2 linked regions of the Rhinolophus ferrumequinum genome follow. The protein of the gene in region 2 purifies or fractionates together with the protein of the main gene of each other region. This does not show direct contact. Links are inferred from orthologs where the notes say so. Each region holds a gene or a part of one and is shown on either strand. Other genes may lie near its edges.

The links. The genes of interacting proteins can lie anywhere in the genome.
Region 1: the proteins of CASP9 (region 2) and DCC purify together in Homo sapiens (co-immunoprecipitation; 3 studies listed by BioGRID and IntAct, with this or other methods). This does not show direct contact. The link is inferred for Rhinolophus ferrumequinum from reciprocal best matches to the Homo sapiens genes CASP9 and DCC.

Annotation. Positions count from the first base shown.
Region 1 is NC_046302.1:42,488,492-42,496,071, reverse strand, and holds the start of DCC (netrin receptor DCC), read right to left. Parts: upstream 3,008-7,580; 5' UTR 2,465-3,007; coding exon 2,374-2,464; intron 1-2,373. UniProt on the Homo sapiens protein: Receptor for netrin required for axon guidance. Mediates axon attraction of neuronal growth cones in the developing nervous system upon ligand binding. Its association with UNC5 proteins may trigger signaling for axon repulsion.
Region 2 is NC_046292.1:10,387,848-10,394,879, forward strand, and holds the start of CASP9 (caspase-9), read right to left. Parts: upstream 3,023-7,032; 5' UTR 2,811-3,022; coding exon 2,679-2,810; intron 1-2,678. Other genes in the region: DNAJC16 (dnaJ homolog subfamily C member 16), read left to right, coding at 6,649-6,815. UniProt on the Homo sapiens protein: Involved in the activation cascade of caspases responsible for apoptosis execution. Binding of caspase-9 to Apaf-1 leads to activation of the protease which then cleaves and activates effector caspases caspase-3 (CASP3) or caspase-7 (CASP7).

The DNA.
Region 1 (7,580 bases), on a different chromosome or scaffold from region 2:
TACTGGTCCTTTCATAGAATGAACTCTGCTTTCTTCAGCAGCAATTCCCTGCCATGTACCTAAAGAGGGGAAATTGCTACTAAGAGATAGAGGAGAAACCTCTTAATGAGCAAAGACCAGAGTCATCTGAATGAACTGTATCTCAAAATAGCACCATCCACTTTCCCGGGACCTGTGCAAACGACATCACAATCCATTGGCAAATAACCAGAATGAATTTAGAAGTATGGGAAGCGTGAAGATTTAGATCCACAAGCCTATCCACAGGCATATTCCCTGTATATGCATGTTTTTGTCTGCCTTTTCAAACACAGACGTATCTGTTGAAGAGGAAATTAAAATAAAGCAGTATTGTGTGGCCCTAACGCTCTAGACAGAAACAAGTGGAAAGAGGGATATTCAATTGATTTAGGTATTAGTGAAACATATATAAAACCGTTTCCATTTATTTACCTCCAGCCTTCATCAGACACAGTCACTTGGGAAATGGCTTTAAAATATTTTAGTTTACTTGATAAAACATCATTGTCCATTCTTCCACACCGTGCCTAGTGCAATATTTTCAGCCGACTCATTTCAAGCCCCACCTGGTAGACTTTCTACCCAGCGAGGGATGCCCCTCTGAACTTCCCCTCTTCCCTCTGTGGCGTCTCCCAAACTGCCCAAGTCAATCTTCTGTGCGGAAGGCTGGATGCTTCGCTGCAGCGTCTAGCCTCCGTGGGTAGCAAGGAGGGTATTTTAAAAAGACACCTATTCATTACTTCGGGGATGACCCCCGCCCTCCTTCGGAGGGAGTAATTGCTGAGGACAAAGCTCCGGGAGAGAGAAGCCCGGGATGTGGGGACTGGCCAGAGAGGGAGGGAAGGAAGGCAAGGGGCCGCTGAGCGCAAGGATGCGGGTACTCACTCATGCACCATACGCGCGCACGCGCCCGTGTTCTCTCTCTCTCTCTCTCTCTCTCTCTCTCTCTCTCTCTCTCTCTCTCTCTCTCTCTCTCTCTCACTCATTCTTTCACTCGCTCTGACACAAGGAAGGTGAGGAGTCTGGGTCTGTGTGTATGCGTGTATGCGCAGATTCCTGTTCGCTGGTACCCGCACCAGGATTTGGGGAGCCTCCAGCTGGTCCCCTGCTTGATTGTCTGAATCCCTAGCGACCTGGAGAGGCACATTCTCTACTCGAATTCGCCACCCTGGGCCATGCAGCATTTAGCAGGAACAAGAAAGCCAGAGCTTCAGGCTCAGGGGCAGCTGGGGGCTTGGCTGTCATTTACCTTCCATTCCCTATTAATTTCCAAGGCACTGGTTCGGGCCCTCCTAGCAACGCCTGGCTCCTGCCTGCGGCTCCTTTTCTTTTGGATTTGGGAAAAGGTCGCTTCCGAAGGGATCTGAACGCTCAGCTGGCTGTTCTCCACAGCTTCCCCACCAGGCCCAACCCCTGTACCAGAGTGCCCACCTACATTTGTGGTGAGGCCCGGCAAAAGGAGTGGACATGAAAATGAGGCTCTTTATTCTTTTTAAATTATTTTAGCCGTCGAAGCCCCTGTTCCGTATTTGGAGACTGCAGCAGCCCGAGCATCCTTCAGCTCCCTCTTTCTCCTGCTATAACCCAATCCCTTCCCCAAACACTTTTGCCATTTTTAATTAGAAAAACTGCGCTTGCCAAGCGCCAGAGCCAGGGAGCCGGCTGCCTGGAATATCAGTCATTTGGAGTTTGGAACTGTCCTGGAGATATCTGGAGACAGCGTGCGAACTGAACGCACCGCTAAAAAATAAAATAAAACACGCTTCCTTCTTCCTAACAACTCTGCGCCTCTTTTCAGCGCCACTGTCCCCTCCTCCGAAGTACCAAAACACAGTAGCTGTCCCTTTCTCGATTCTCAATCAGCAAGTCTAAAAATCCCAAAGGAAGGCGCTTGTAGCCGCAAACGACTCAGCCCAGCCTTCCGCACAGACTTCCTCGGAGCCCCTCCATGACCTCCGCTTGGCCCTGTTGCCCCGATCCGTAGGTTTCCGAGGCTGTAAGGATCCAACCCTGTTCCTTTCAACGACATCCCACCACCTGCCTCCTCCCCGCCCCAGCCCGCCAGCTCTCCAAATCAAGGCAAGTATTTGCGAAAGCTAAGATGCAAGAGTACCAGATTAAAAAAGAGCGGAGGGGCGCCCGACTCCCCAGCCGCCAACGTCCTCCACCCCCAGGGGGAAAAAAAGTCTTCCTGTCTTTTACCATCGGTGAGGAAATGGGGCACAGAGCTCCTAACATCTTGCTCTTTCTCCCTCTATCCCAGCTGTACCACTCGCCAGATGAAATGAGAAGGAAAAGGAAAGGGGGTAGGGGGTGGGGGGTTTGAGGAGAAGAAAGGAAACAACCTCTTACCGGTGACTTGAAGATGTGCGCCGAGCAGGGTAGCTCCGAAGAGTACAAAAGCCAGCTTGGGTACCCAAACACATCCAAGACTATTCTCCATATTTCAGCCAACACCTTCGGGGCCAGGGGTCCTGGGCAGCGGCGGCTCTCACACACATGCACTCACACACACACATGCACACATGCACACACTCGCGCCGAGCCCCTTCGGCTTCCTCCTCGTCGTCCTCTTCCTCCACCTCTTTCTCCACCTCCCCTGCGCCTCTTCTGCCTCCGAAGCCTTTTTCCGCGTCCACTGACAAAATCAGCAGCAAAAGGAGGCAGCAAAAAGTTCCATTCAGTCCAATAGATTCCGAGCCCCCTGTAAAAACCTTGGGAAACTAACTCAAGGAAACAGACGGCGCAAGAGGAGGGAAGACAGCTCTCCACGGGGCTTGGGAGTCATCAATAAACAGAATATCCAGGGGAAACCAAGAGGAGGCAGAAAACAATCCTATGGCTGGGCTGTGCATTAAAAGGTTGAGACTGGTTCCCTGTCTTCGGCTGGGTAAAGTTGAAGAGAAAAAAAAATCCCCCGAGAACTGGGGGTGCTGTTCGGTTTTCCTCCAAGAGCCGAAGGGACCGAGGGAGGAGAGGCAGGGGGCTGCTGGTGGAGCGCTCTCACTTGTTACTGGGGTGTCCGCCAGCGGTGTGTGAGCTGGGAGTTGGAGCCGTACTATCCATTGATCCGGAGAAGTGGAGGGCTGGAAGGGAAAATGTGGAGACCGGAGGGAAACGAACTGGATCAGGCAAAGATTCCACGGGAAGGGGGTGGGGGTGGGGGCAGAGGGATGACGGCGAAGGGAAAAAAGAGCGGTCGGAGGAGGCTCCTAGCAGCTGCATTCGCCTGGTCTACATATCAATGAGCAGGGATGCCCTCTGTGGGCAAAGCGTGGGAAGTCACTTTTGTCAATGGAGCCAGTGAATTGCGTGAGCGTCTGGGGGTTCTGCAGCTCTCTTTTCACACTCAACCTTCAAGAAACTATTTTTGACTGGAAAACCTAGGACAGCTTAGCAGCAAAGGGGCAAGAACTTTGCTACTGGCCAAAAATTAGCCCAGTTAAAAAGGGGAAAAGGACAGAGGAAATGGTTAGTGGATAAGCTATTTCAATGTTTTTTTGGTTTTTTTTGTTGTTGTTGTTGTTTAAACGGTGTGTTAAATGAGTTTTGGTACAGGCCGAATTAAATCTTTTCAGGTCTCTGACATACGAGTCAATGACACTTAAAAAGCAGCTTAAGTCTTACATACGTATGCCTTTTCTTACAGAGTGTCAATGACTCCCTATTTGTCTAGACTTCAGCCTGGACAGGAATCCTTTTTACAGTCTTGCTTCTCATGTCGTTCTTGCATAAACCCTTCTATCATGCCATGAGTTTACACTGTATACACAAACCATTTTCATAATGGAATAATGCATTAATTTAATAAACGAGTTCTAAATTGTTAAATGATTTGAGATAGACAGTCCAGTTCTATCAGAATCATGGGCTCAGTTTACATAAGCAGACAAAACCTGAGACTACAGTGATTCTTTTTTCTGAAATACTTTAGGAAAAAAATAAATCCCCTCAGGTTTTTCTAGGTTTTCTCTTATCAAAGATTACATAGCATATTTATGTCATGAAATGACATCTATTTTCCAAATTAGTACCTTTGGAGTTCATCTTATGTTTTTTAATATTCATGACAAGATAAATTAATTATAAAACTGCTATAAAAAAGCTCTCAATATGTGAATGTAATTCTGTTAATTTTATATTATGGATTGAGAGAGAGAGAGAGAGAGAGAGAGAGAGAGAGAGAGAGAGAGAGAGAGAGAGAGAGAGAGAGAGAGAGAAATTTAGGAAGAGTGAACAGTGAAGCCCTTTCAGAAAGCTCCTATAAGCTGACTTTCTTTCTATATTTTACTCCATTGTAGGACTTCAAACTCCTTTAAAAGGAGCTGTATGGCATTCATCTTTGCACCCCTCACAGATCTAGCACAGGATTTGGAATATTGCACATGCCAATACATTTTTGCTGAGTAAGAGAACTTACAAACAAATGAATTTGGCGAGGAAGGATGATGAATAGAAACACCACTCTGGTAAAAGTTCTGTCTTTTAAGAAGCTATTTCAGCTGCAGGTTGTCCCCATTCCTCACTGTATTACATTGTCTATTCACTCTTTCTCTTTCTTCCCCACACTTTCTTGTCACTCTCTCAAATTCATCAGTTTCTGAGAGAAGAAAATGTGATTAGTTACTTAAAAATAAGGGGAGAAAAACATGAAAAAAAAGTAGGATAAAGTCATCATCAGGGAAAGCCCCATGATGTGAGAACTGGACAACTGTTTCCAGATGCTCAGTCATGCCTATCTCTTCCTGTCTTGGGAAAGAAAATAAGAAGATCCTGGGATCTCCAAATCAAAACCTCCTACAGTAGCTTAGATGGATGTGCCCTTTAGCATCGAATGGAACTCTCTGGTAACCACCAAATTTCTCAAAACACTCAAGCTTCCTTTAGCTGATGATGAGGTCCCTGGAGGTACAGGCTCGGGGTCCAGAGGCAGGCTCTCTAACTGAGTCCATTGATCCTCCTGGGAGGCCCCTGCTGACAGACTTCAGGGAATTCATGAATATCCTGAAATTTTATGAAAAAAATGACTGACTTCTGTGCACATGCTCTTTAGCTTTCATTAGATACACAAAATAAGTTCAAGCATGCCCCTGCCAAACAATGGAAAGAACCACTGTCTTAGAAAGTGTAGTATGAGGAAAGAGTCACAGTCTCTTCCTGAGAGAATCATAAAATCCTCATCACTACAAGGATGTCCACGAAGACAGGGAGGGTAGGAAGGAAAAACGGTCCGTGCTGTTCGAATCCCTTTAAATGGACTCTGCTTGGTCTCACACAGTACAACTAATGATTAAGTTACCCTTTAATATGGTCCTTGACCCCTGTGCCCTGAGTAGATCAGGCCATCTGCCCCCGGAACAATGAGCCTCTACAAAAGATCAACTTCTCTTCCTCTTAGATACTCATTTGGTCCCACAGCTAGCTTCTGTCAGTTCCTTGTCCTCATTTCCCAAATACACTCTCTTTCTTCTGAGGGAGATGACTCCAGATTGATTTTGGAGTCTTCTCCGAGAAACAGCTTCAGTATTTTCTGATTCACAGTGTGGCAATTTATACTTGAGAGACACAGCACCCCTCATGGCTCTTCTCAGAGATGTCAGGTCCACTTCCCACCTAGCCTTTTTTTTGGGGGGGATGGGAGGGGGGAAAGAAACCAAAAGATCACATAGGAAGAGGACAGAAATGGGAGCCACAGGAAATAGTTTAGTATAATAATTAATGCTCTTCACATAGTCTGTATTTCATTTAGTGCTGAGAGTTAAATTCCTCATGGGATTTAATCTGGTTAAAAAAAAATAGACACACTTTTGAGTTCTGAAAGCAAATTAATCATTAATTATATCTCTTCAAACTACATGTACCCTAAGTTATTTGTGTATGTGTATGTTTGGGGAAGGGGTCAACAGGAACATTGATTTTCTGAGATTAGTTCAAGAGCGTGAGTCAAATTAAAAGCCTGTAATTCCTTTAAGATCCTCATTATGGAACTTCATTTCTTGTCTAACCTTAATTCAGAAAATTAATTACCTTAGTCTATTTCTATTCTTCTCCCAATATCATGATCGGACTTTAAAAGATACTTTCTATTATGTTTTTGAAATGTATTTGTTAAAACAGTAACATCTCGTCAAATGGTACATGTTAGGCTATGAATTTGACTACACTGCAGATCAAATCATGTGAACATTTGCCATTTAGTCATTAATTTAAGAAAGGCAATTATTATATTAGAGATTTGGGCTACGTGATATCTATACGGAATATACAACTATAAATAGGATACAGACGTTGCCCTTGGCGAGTCTGCAGTCATAGGGTGAAGGGGTGTATTTCACTTGACGTTTATTTGTTGTTTGTTTGCCCAGTATCCACTCTTCCTTATTTTGGTAACAGATCACACCTTTTGCTCTGGGGGAACTCCTCCTCCATTTTCTTAGCTACAAAGTTGAGAAAGTGGGTCCTGAGTCCCTTTAGTCCTGCAGAGCAGCCTACCTTTCTGATCATGGTGATACACTCAGAGCTGAACCCATCAGCTAATCAGAGCAAAGGAGAGATTTTCTGGGGCTTCTAAAAATGAGATGCTTTCTGTCTTTCATGGGTGTACTACTCAGAGAAACCTCTTTTCCCTCTGGATCGTGGACGCATCTGAGCTTCAATAAGGTACTAATTTAGAAGAAACCTTGGAGCTTGCATCAGCTCCCTATGAAGAATCTGTGGTAGCAGAATGATCACCCTCCTCTCCCCTCCAAAGATGCCCACGTCCTAATCCGTGCAACCTGTGAACATGTTACCGTATGTGGAAATAGGGATTTTCAGATGTGATAAAATTAAGAATCATAAATTGCAGAGATTATTCTGGATTATCCCCGTGAGTCCAATGTAATCACAAGGGTTCTCAGAAGAGGGAGACAGAAAGTCAGGGTCAGAAAAGGAGATGCGAAAATGAAAGCAGGGGTCATAGCAGAGTGAGTCCATTACCGGAAGGGACGATGGACCAAGAAAGGCAGATAGCCTCTGAAAGCTAGAGAAGGTAAAACTCAGATTCTCTCCTGGAGCCTACAGAAGAAATACAGTCCTATCAATACTTTCATTCCAGCCCATAAAATCTTTTTTTCTTTTTTAACATCCACAACTATAAGATAATAAAGTTGTGTTGTTTTAAGACATTAAATTTGTGGTAGTTTGTTATAGGAATAATAGGAAGCTAGCACAGATTTTGGTGCCATGAAGTGAGGTGCTGCTGTAATCAATACTTAAAAACCTACACGTGGCACTGGGATTCCACAAAGGGAAGAGGCTGGAAGAATTTTAAGGAAAATGATAGGAAAAAAGCTAGAGTGCTTTGAGTAGACTGTTGGTAAAAATATGGAACCTAAACTACAGGTACTGTGGGTGAAGGCTCAGAAGGAAATGAGGAACGCGTTTTCGGAAAAGTAGAAGGAAGAGGAGCTTTGTGAGACAGTGGCAGAATCTTAGGACAGGCGTGTCCTACAGTTATGCGAAAGGCAGAACTTATAAGTGATGAATTTGGATATTAACTGAGATTTCCCAAGTCTTGA
Region 2 (7,032 bases):
GGAGTTATCCTGGGGGGCAGGGTAGACTATTAAAGGGAGTAAAGCCACAGCCAGGTCAGGTGGCAGCAAAAATGGTGTAGGTGGAATATAGAGAAGTGAGAGGACGGACCAGAAACAAGGAGGGAGAATCTACAGGACGTGGCCGTTGATTGGGTAGCCTGTGAAGAAGGAGAAATGGTCATGGTCAAGATTGACAGGTGTGGGGATGGTGGGGCCCGTCACTGAGACAGAGAGCAGGGTGGAAGCAGGAAGAAGATGCTGGTTAACTGCTGGCTGTCCTTTGAGATCCAGCACTGGGCCAAGTTCCTCAGGAAGCACAGGAATAAGACACCACCCTGTCCTCAAATATCCTACAGCAGCACTGTCCAAGGGAACGTTTCAAGATGAGGGAAATGCCCTTTATCTGTGCAGTCCAAGAGGGCTGTCCAATCGGCCACGTGCGGCTACTGAGCACTTGGGTCCTATGACTGGGGAACTGAATGTTTTATTTTGTTTAATCTTAATTACTTCAGGTTTACATCGAAATAGCCACATGTGGCTAATGGCTACTATGTTGAACAGCACAGACCTGTATATAGTGTCACTGAGAAGATAATTCTCACTAGAAAAACAGTTAGGTACATGTCTACTTCTCTACAAATAGATTGTGGTGTTTTGATTTCTCTCAACAGTTACTAAACCCTCACAACAAGGCGGACACTTGTTACATGCATCGTTTTATTTCGTTCCCCTCAACAACCTTCAATTACAATGATCCCCACTTTCAGGAAGAGGGAAACTGAGTCACAGAAAAGTGTTGCAACGTGTTAATATATAACAAAGCCAGGATGAGGGCCCGGATCCACGTGGTTCCAAAGTCTGTGTGTTTATCAGCCAAACCAGTGTGGTGAAAGGGCGGCCTGTTGTTCGCCCAGCGTTCTTTAAATATTCTGAATTGTTACTGACATTTAAAGTCAGAGACTTGGACTTCAAAATCATGATTTCCAGCTTCTCTTTAAAGACATGGAAAATCTGGCAACACCAGCCCAGCATTCTGGCATGACTGTTACCAGTGCAGAGGTCCTTGCCCCTCTTGGAAGAGAAATCAAGAGTGGGCGTAACAGTTTTGCAGACAAAAAGGTTTATTAAAGCAAAAGCTTGCCGCATTGCGGGAGCACACCTCGAAAGAGAATGGGTGTGGCTCACCCAGGTTTATAGGCGCAGTGGCTTTATGGGCTCTTGGGGTTGGGGGCCATTCCTTCCTCTTTCCCTTCTCCCTCCCCAAAGTATATTGAGGCTGGTACAACCCTGCTGCCAGGCCAGAGCAATGGGACTCCGATGTCTCAGTAGCATCTTAAATCTCCACCAGAGGGGAACGTTTTTTACCATGATAATGAGGGGAAGTTAACAACTATAGGACAGCTCTTTTAATCAATGTGCTTGTGGTTAGCAACTTGCCCTGGACCACTTCTCTCTCCTGCAATGATGGTATTATTTCTTACAGGCCTGGGGACGTGGTTCAAGATTGTTCTCCCCAGCTGCAGGCTTGGCTAGGGCTACTGTGACCACCTACCTGACTACCGGCCACATAACAGAGACAGAGAGCAGGGCAGGAGCAGGAAGAAAGAAGAAGCTGGAAGTGGAGCGGGAGGGCAAGGCAGAGACTGCCTGCTGTAGTGCCCACACATTGGGCATGGGAACGGGTGACCACTGTGGACGTATCTGAAGGCAACGATATGGTCTCAAACCATGTCCACCACTCAGCATAGGCCACACAGCAGGGGCTCAAAAGGCTTCTTTTAATATTAGTCATTGCTACTTTTCCACACGACACTTGTCCTGTTAAAGACTTCCTCACTGGGTCAGGCCAAGCTCCTGGGTGATGCAGAAACCGGACACCCAGCCTGTAAGCAGCCCACAGGACACTGGCCAGGGGCCTCCAGGAAGCCACACACACCCACTGCACCCCATGGTAGGAAATCCCCCAGGAACCTGCCTCACCTCACAGGCCTGTGGTTAAGGGTCAAATAAGACAAAGATATGAAAGTGCTTTTAAAGAGAACCTCCAAGGTTTGACTTTATTCCCTCCATTACCTGCACTGAACCGTTCATCTCCAAAACCCCTTCCAAAACATAAACTTAACATATGAGGCGCTGGCCAAGGAGGACAGGGCAGCCAACCATCATATGTTGTGCCCTTACTCTGTGCCTGACACTCCACTGTTTCACATCCGTTATCACATTGAGCCCTCAGGACAATACTACTGGTGTCCCCGTTTCACGGCCCAGGAAACTGGCTCAGAGTACAAGTGCCTTGGGCAAGGACAGGGTGCCAGGCAGTCTGACGCCCTGGATCTCGGTGCTAGAGGAGGAAAAAACACACATGCCTCCTTGCTGGCAAAAGCACGACGCCGCAGCAGCTAACTGCACGCTGGCGGTGCAGGACGCGGAATGGCTTTAGCCAGCCCTCAGGTAGGCGACTGGGATTGTCTGCGTCGGCTGGGCAATTTAGTGGGCTCGCCGCCGCGAGGGAAATCGGGGTTCCCACACAGTCGTGCCCCAAAAGGGGTGGGTACTGGGTGGTACAGAAAGGAGAGGAAGTCGTGGGAGCTCCGCCATTAAGTTACGTTGTCCCCATCTGTAACAGAAGTATGCGCGCGATGCGGGAAGCCGGGGGCGCCGGCTGGATGGGGGCGCACCTGGATGTCCTCGATCATACCGGGCGTGAAGAGCTCGCGGCTCAGCAGAACGTCCCAGAGAGGGGCCACCTGCAGCTCGCTGACCAGCCGCACCCGGCACCGCCGCAGGAGCTGCCGGTCAGCGTCGTCCATGGCGAGCAGACGGCGGGGACACCGGCCGCCTCCGTCCGCTTCCGGGCCACGGCTACCGCGCCCAGCCTGCTCCCCAGGACCCGCCCGGGGTCCAGCCACCGCGTTGCGCTCCACCCGCGAATCTTCCTCACCCCCAGGGTCCAACGCCCGGGCCAGGCCACTTCCGGCCCACTTGGCTCCGCCTCTGAGCCCTGCCCAGCCCCCAGAACCCACCCCCGCGGCACCGCCCCCAGTACCCACCCACTCGTCAACGCCCCGCCCCACGTCAACGCCCCGCCCCAGATACTCCGTCGCGTCACTGACGCATGCCCCTCGCCAAAATTCAAGACCACTCGCTTTTACCAAGACTCGGACTGAGTCACTCTACTGATAAGAGAGACAGCCCCGCCTCGAGCCACAGTCTGTCCCCGCCCCCATTCAACCCCCTTCCGGGTATGGCTCCCCTCTAGCCACCCCTGCTCCCAATAAAACCTTCCACCCGGGTGTCCGGATCTTATCGTTTACTGTTCCAAATTCGTGTGTCTCATCCAACCAGCCCACCCTTCATGGTTTTCCATTTCCCTCTTCCCTCCCTCCCACCCTTGCACCTCCCAAACAAAGACAGAAAACGGGCAGAAATCTCGTCCTCTGAACTCCCAGTTTGTACGGCTCATTTGAGAAGTAATTGATCCTGTTTGTTGAGCATTTGCTAGGTCTCAGCCATTATGCTAGCCACTTTACATTGCATTATCTCATTATCCCTACAATCCTACCAGGGAAGGATTTTCCCCCATTTTATATATGTGGATGCTGGGGCTCAAGGAAGGACAGTCACCGTTCAAGAGCACGGAGGTAGTAAGTGGCAGAGGGGGACAAGACGTAAACTCGAATCTAACTCAAAGTCCACACTCAACCGGGAGTCCACCTTAAATGTATTCTCTTGAATAGCAAAACTTCAGCCCCATTCATTCATTTATTCCACAAATATTTACTACGTTCTTGCCTGTGCCGACGTCTGTGCAGGCCTCGAGAATACAGAGGTATTCTCTGCAGACACAGCCCTGCCATAGGAGCTTACATTCCAGTAGGAGGAGACAGACGATAAAAGATATAGTATGTTAGTGATAAATACAAAGGAGATCTAAATAAATACATACATACATACATATATACAAGGCAGGGCGATATGAAATGTAGCTCTTTATATCCCTAAAGAATCTATCTCTGGCTCAATGAAAGTTTACCTCAGACACCTGTGCCCTCTCCCCTTTGCCCCCACCACACACATCCCTTTCCCTTGCTAAGGGCAGGGATTGGCACATTCTAGGGTGGAGCTCGCTTTTTGGTAAACGGGTTTAGAAGTCCTGGATTCTAGGCCTTGGGCAAGTCCCTGCCCTCTCTGGGCCTCAGTCTCCCCATCAGCATATGGAGGAGTTGGACTAGAAAGGCTCCCTAAGGTCCCTTCCAACTCTGACGCTCTAGAATTCTATGAATAGGCTTAAAGAGAACGGAGACCCACGATTGCTTCCCCACCCTAACAACCGTTGCTAGACGAGGGCCATCTCCTGGTAGGACTGGAAACTCCTCCCTGGATCGGGGAGGTCTTTTTCGCATCCCATCATGCATCGCGACTTAGCCTCGCTAGGAGGCACGTTTTGACCTCTTTGGTCACGACCATGCCTTTTGGGCCCGCCAACGAGCGCGCCTCGTTCCTATGGCAACCGCGCCAGGTCCACGCGCAGACGGTGAGTAACAAGGGTCAAAATAGATTCGCAAGTAGAGGCCCTCAGCCGGTTCAGTGCGCGTCTTTGATGAGCGGGGCCTTTAAGTATCACGTGACTCCCTTCAATCTTTTCCCCTCCCCAGGCTCCGAAGAGCGCTGGTGTGGACCAGAGGCTACCTGCCGGCGGACTAACTGGATGTCGGAAGCTGCCGCCGTTTAGGCTGGTGCCCTTTCCCGGTAACTCCTTCCCGGCGTGACGCGCGGAGCCGCGAACGCGGCGGGACCGGGCAGGCTCAGGAATCTCCCTTCAGTTCCTCCTCGTTCCCGGTCCCTGCTGGGCCTGGGAGGAAAGGGGAACCGACTGGGCCCGGCCAAGGGCTCTCGGAGGAGGCGGCCGTCTCCTGGAGGGTTGCGACCTCCGGCGGGTGTTCGAGGCGGGGCTCAGACCCAGAGTGTGTCTCCGGCAGCGGCTGCTTAGTTTAGGGAATATTGCCTGAGGTTGGTAGCCTACCTGTTGGGCAGGTTGTTTTCTGCCCTGGGGCCGGCGTCGTCAGGCGGTCAGCAAAAGAACTTCACAGCCCCCACCCCGCACTTGGGCCCTCTAACGAACTGGAAGCGACTGTCACAGTTGAATAAGGCAGTGGTTGCACAGCACGGCAGAAAAAAACTACCAAGTACCCTTTACTGACCGTTGACCCTATGCTCAGTAAATCCTTTACATACATTTAACCCCCGTGTTGATCCTTTCAAGATGGTATTATTCACCCCCGTTTTTTGAATAAGGACACTGAAGCTTAACAAGTTTAACTAACTTGCCCAAGGTCATAAAGTGGTGGAGGATGGATCCCAATCTTCGTCTGATTCCAGAGCCCAAGTGCTTACCCGGTAGCGACATCACCTTCGGATTTTTAGCGCGCTGGACCTTTTTGTAGGCTAGAATAGGTTATAGGTCACCTTTCCAAAGAAACTGGTTTGTTTTGGGATTTTATTCAGCATGCATGCAATCCTAAACATTGGTCATCAGGTTAGTCAATTTTGTGAGGACTCCCAGTCAGTATTTAGACTCCCACCTGTTAAAATCCACCGCTGTTAACAGCTTTTGCCCACCCTCTTAAGTAAGGTATCAACAATAGACACTCGAACCTTGAAACTTGACTGATTTATGAGAAGTCAAGATACATTTGGGCCTTGATAAAACTTTGTATAACATCACAAAGAGCATAATCCTGGAGTGTGTCAGGGCAATCATACAGCACTACCTTGTTCTTAAAGCAGCCAGGATTCTTTCCAAAACCCGCAATGAATGCATGCAGTCACTACACTCACCAAAGATGGAGCTTTAATATTTGAAGACCGTGTCTGTCTGGTGTACAGTCTTTGCCATTAATTCCCCTTCATGTGGAAAACTAAATTTTTTCTCACCACTTTTTCTCAAATAGTGAAAAAAAAGTTGAGCATTTCCTGAGGCCTCCATTTATAATGACCATATTGCTAATGATCACCTTCTCATTGTCTTGTTCAAATGGACTAGGTAAGAAAGAATAGAATTGGGGCATATTAAATCATAATTGCATAGTTTTTAAAGAGCATTTCACTTTCGTATTTGTACTTATTTAACACCCAAGAATGTCACAACTATCTATCTCATTTTGTGGTTTTGCACATGGTAAATCTTAGGATTGCATGAATGTATTTAGCATATATTCAGTGAAGTATTCTTAAGTCTCATATTTTAAGTTTAAACTATCACCAGAATAAGGAAGTAGTGGATTGAGATGTAGTCACCTTGATTTTCCTATGTATTTTTTCCCACATTCGCTTATTATTTCATCTCGTTCATTTTCAGTCATTTCTAAAGTGTTTCTAATCCAAGGATCCTGGAGAGTTGCCATTAATTCTTATTGCTCATCTTTTCATCTATAATAGTTCCTATTTGTGATATAAATAGTAGCGAGATTATTGCTTTTTTTTAAATATGGTCTAACAGCTTGACACTTTTCCTGCAAAATATCTTTTGTTTGTTTTGTTTTTCATCTCTGTATCTTATACCTTTACCTGGAAAAGCAAGACTTTCCAGGTTTCTACCACTGAAACTTGTTGCCTCTTCAATCATTTCAGCTCTGGAAAGGAAGAGAAATGGAAGTGAAAAAGTTGAGCATTTCCTGGCAGTTCTTGATAGTTCTGGTTCTGATCCTGCAAATTCTGTCTGCGTTGGATTTTGACCCATACAGAGTCCTAGGGGTCAGCCGAACAGCCAGTCAGGCTGATATTAAAAAGGCTTATAAGAAGCTCGCCCGGGAATGGTAGGTGAAACAAAGAAATAGTTTAATATAAACTAAGCAGTTTTAGCAGGGGAATGAAGCCTAAATTGTGATTAGCTTTTATTTGTCTCTGTTTCTGTGTTCAATAAATATATAATGTATCTGTCTAAAATATTTTATTTGGGAGAACTAATGTTCGTGTTATTCTATAATTTTTAGTAATGCAACCCAAAGCCTGTGTTACTGTGAAACCCCTTTA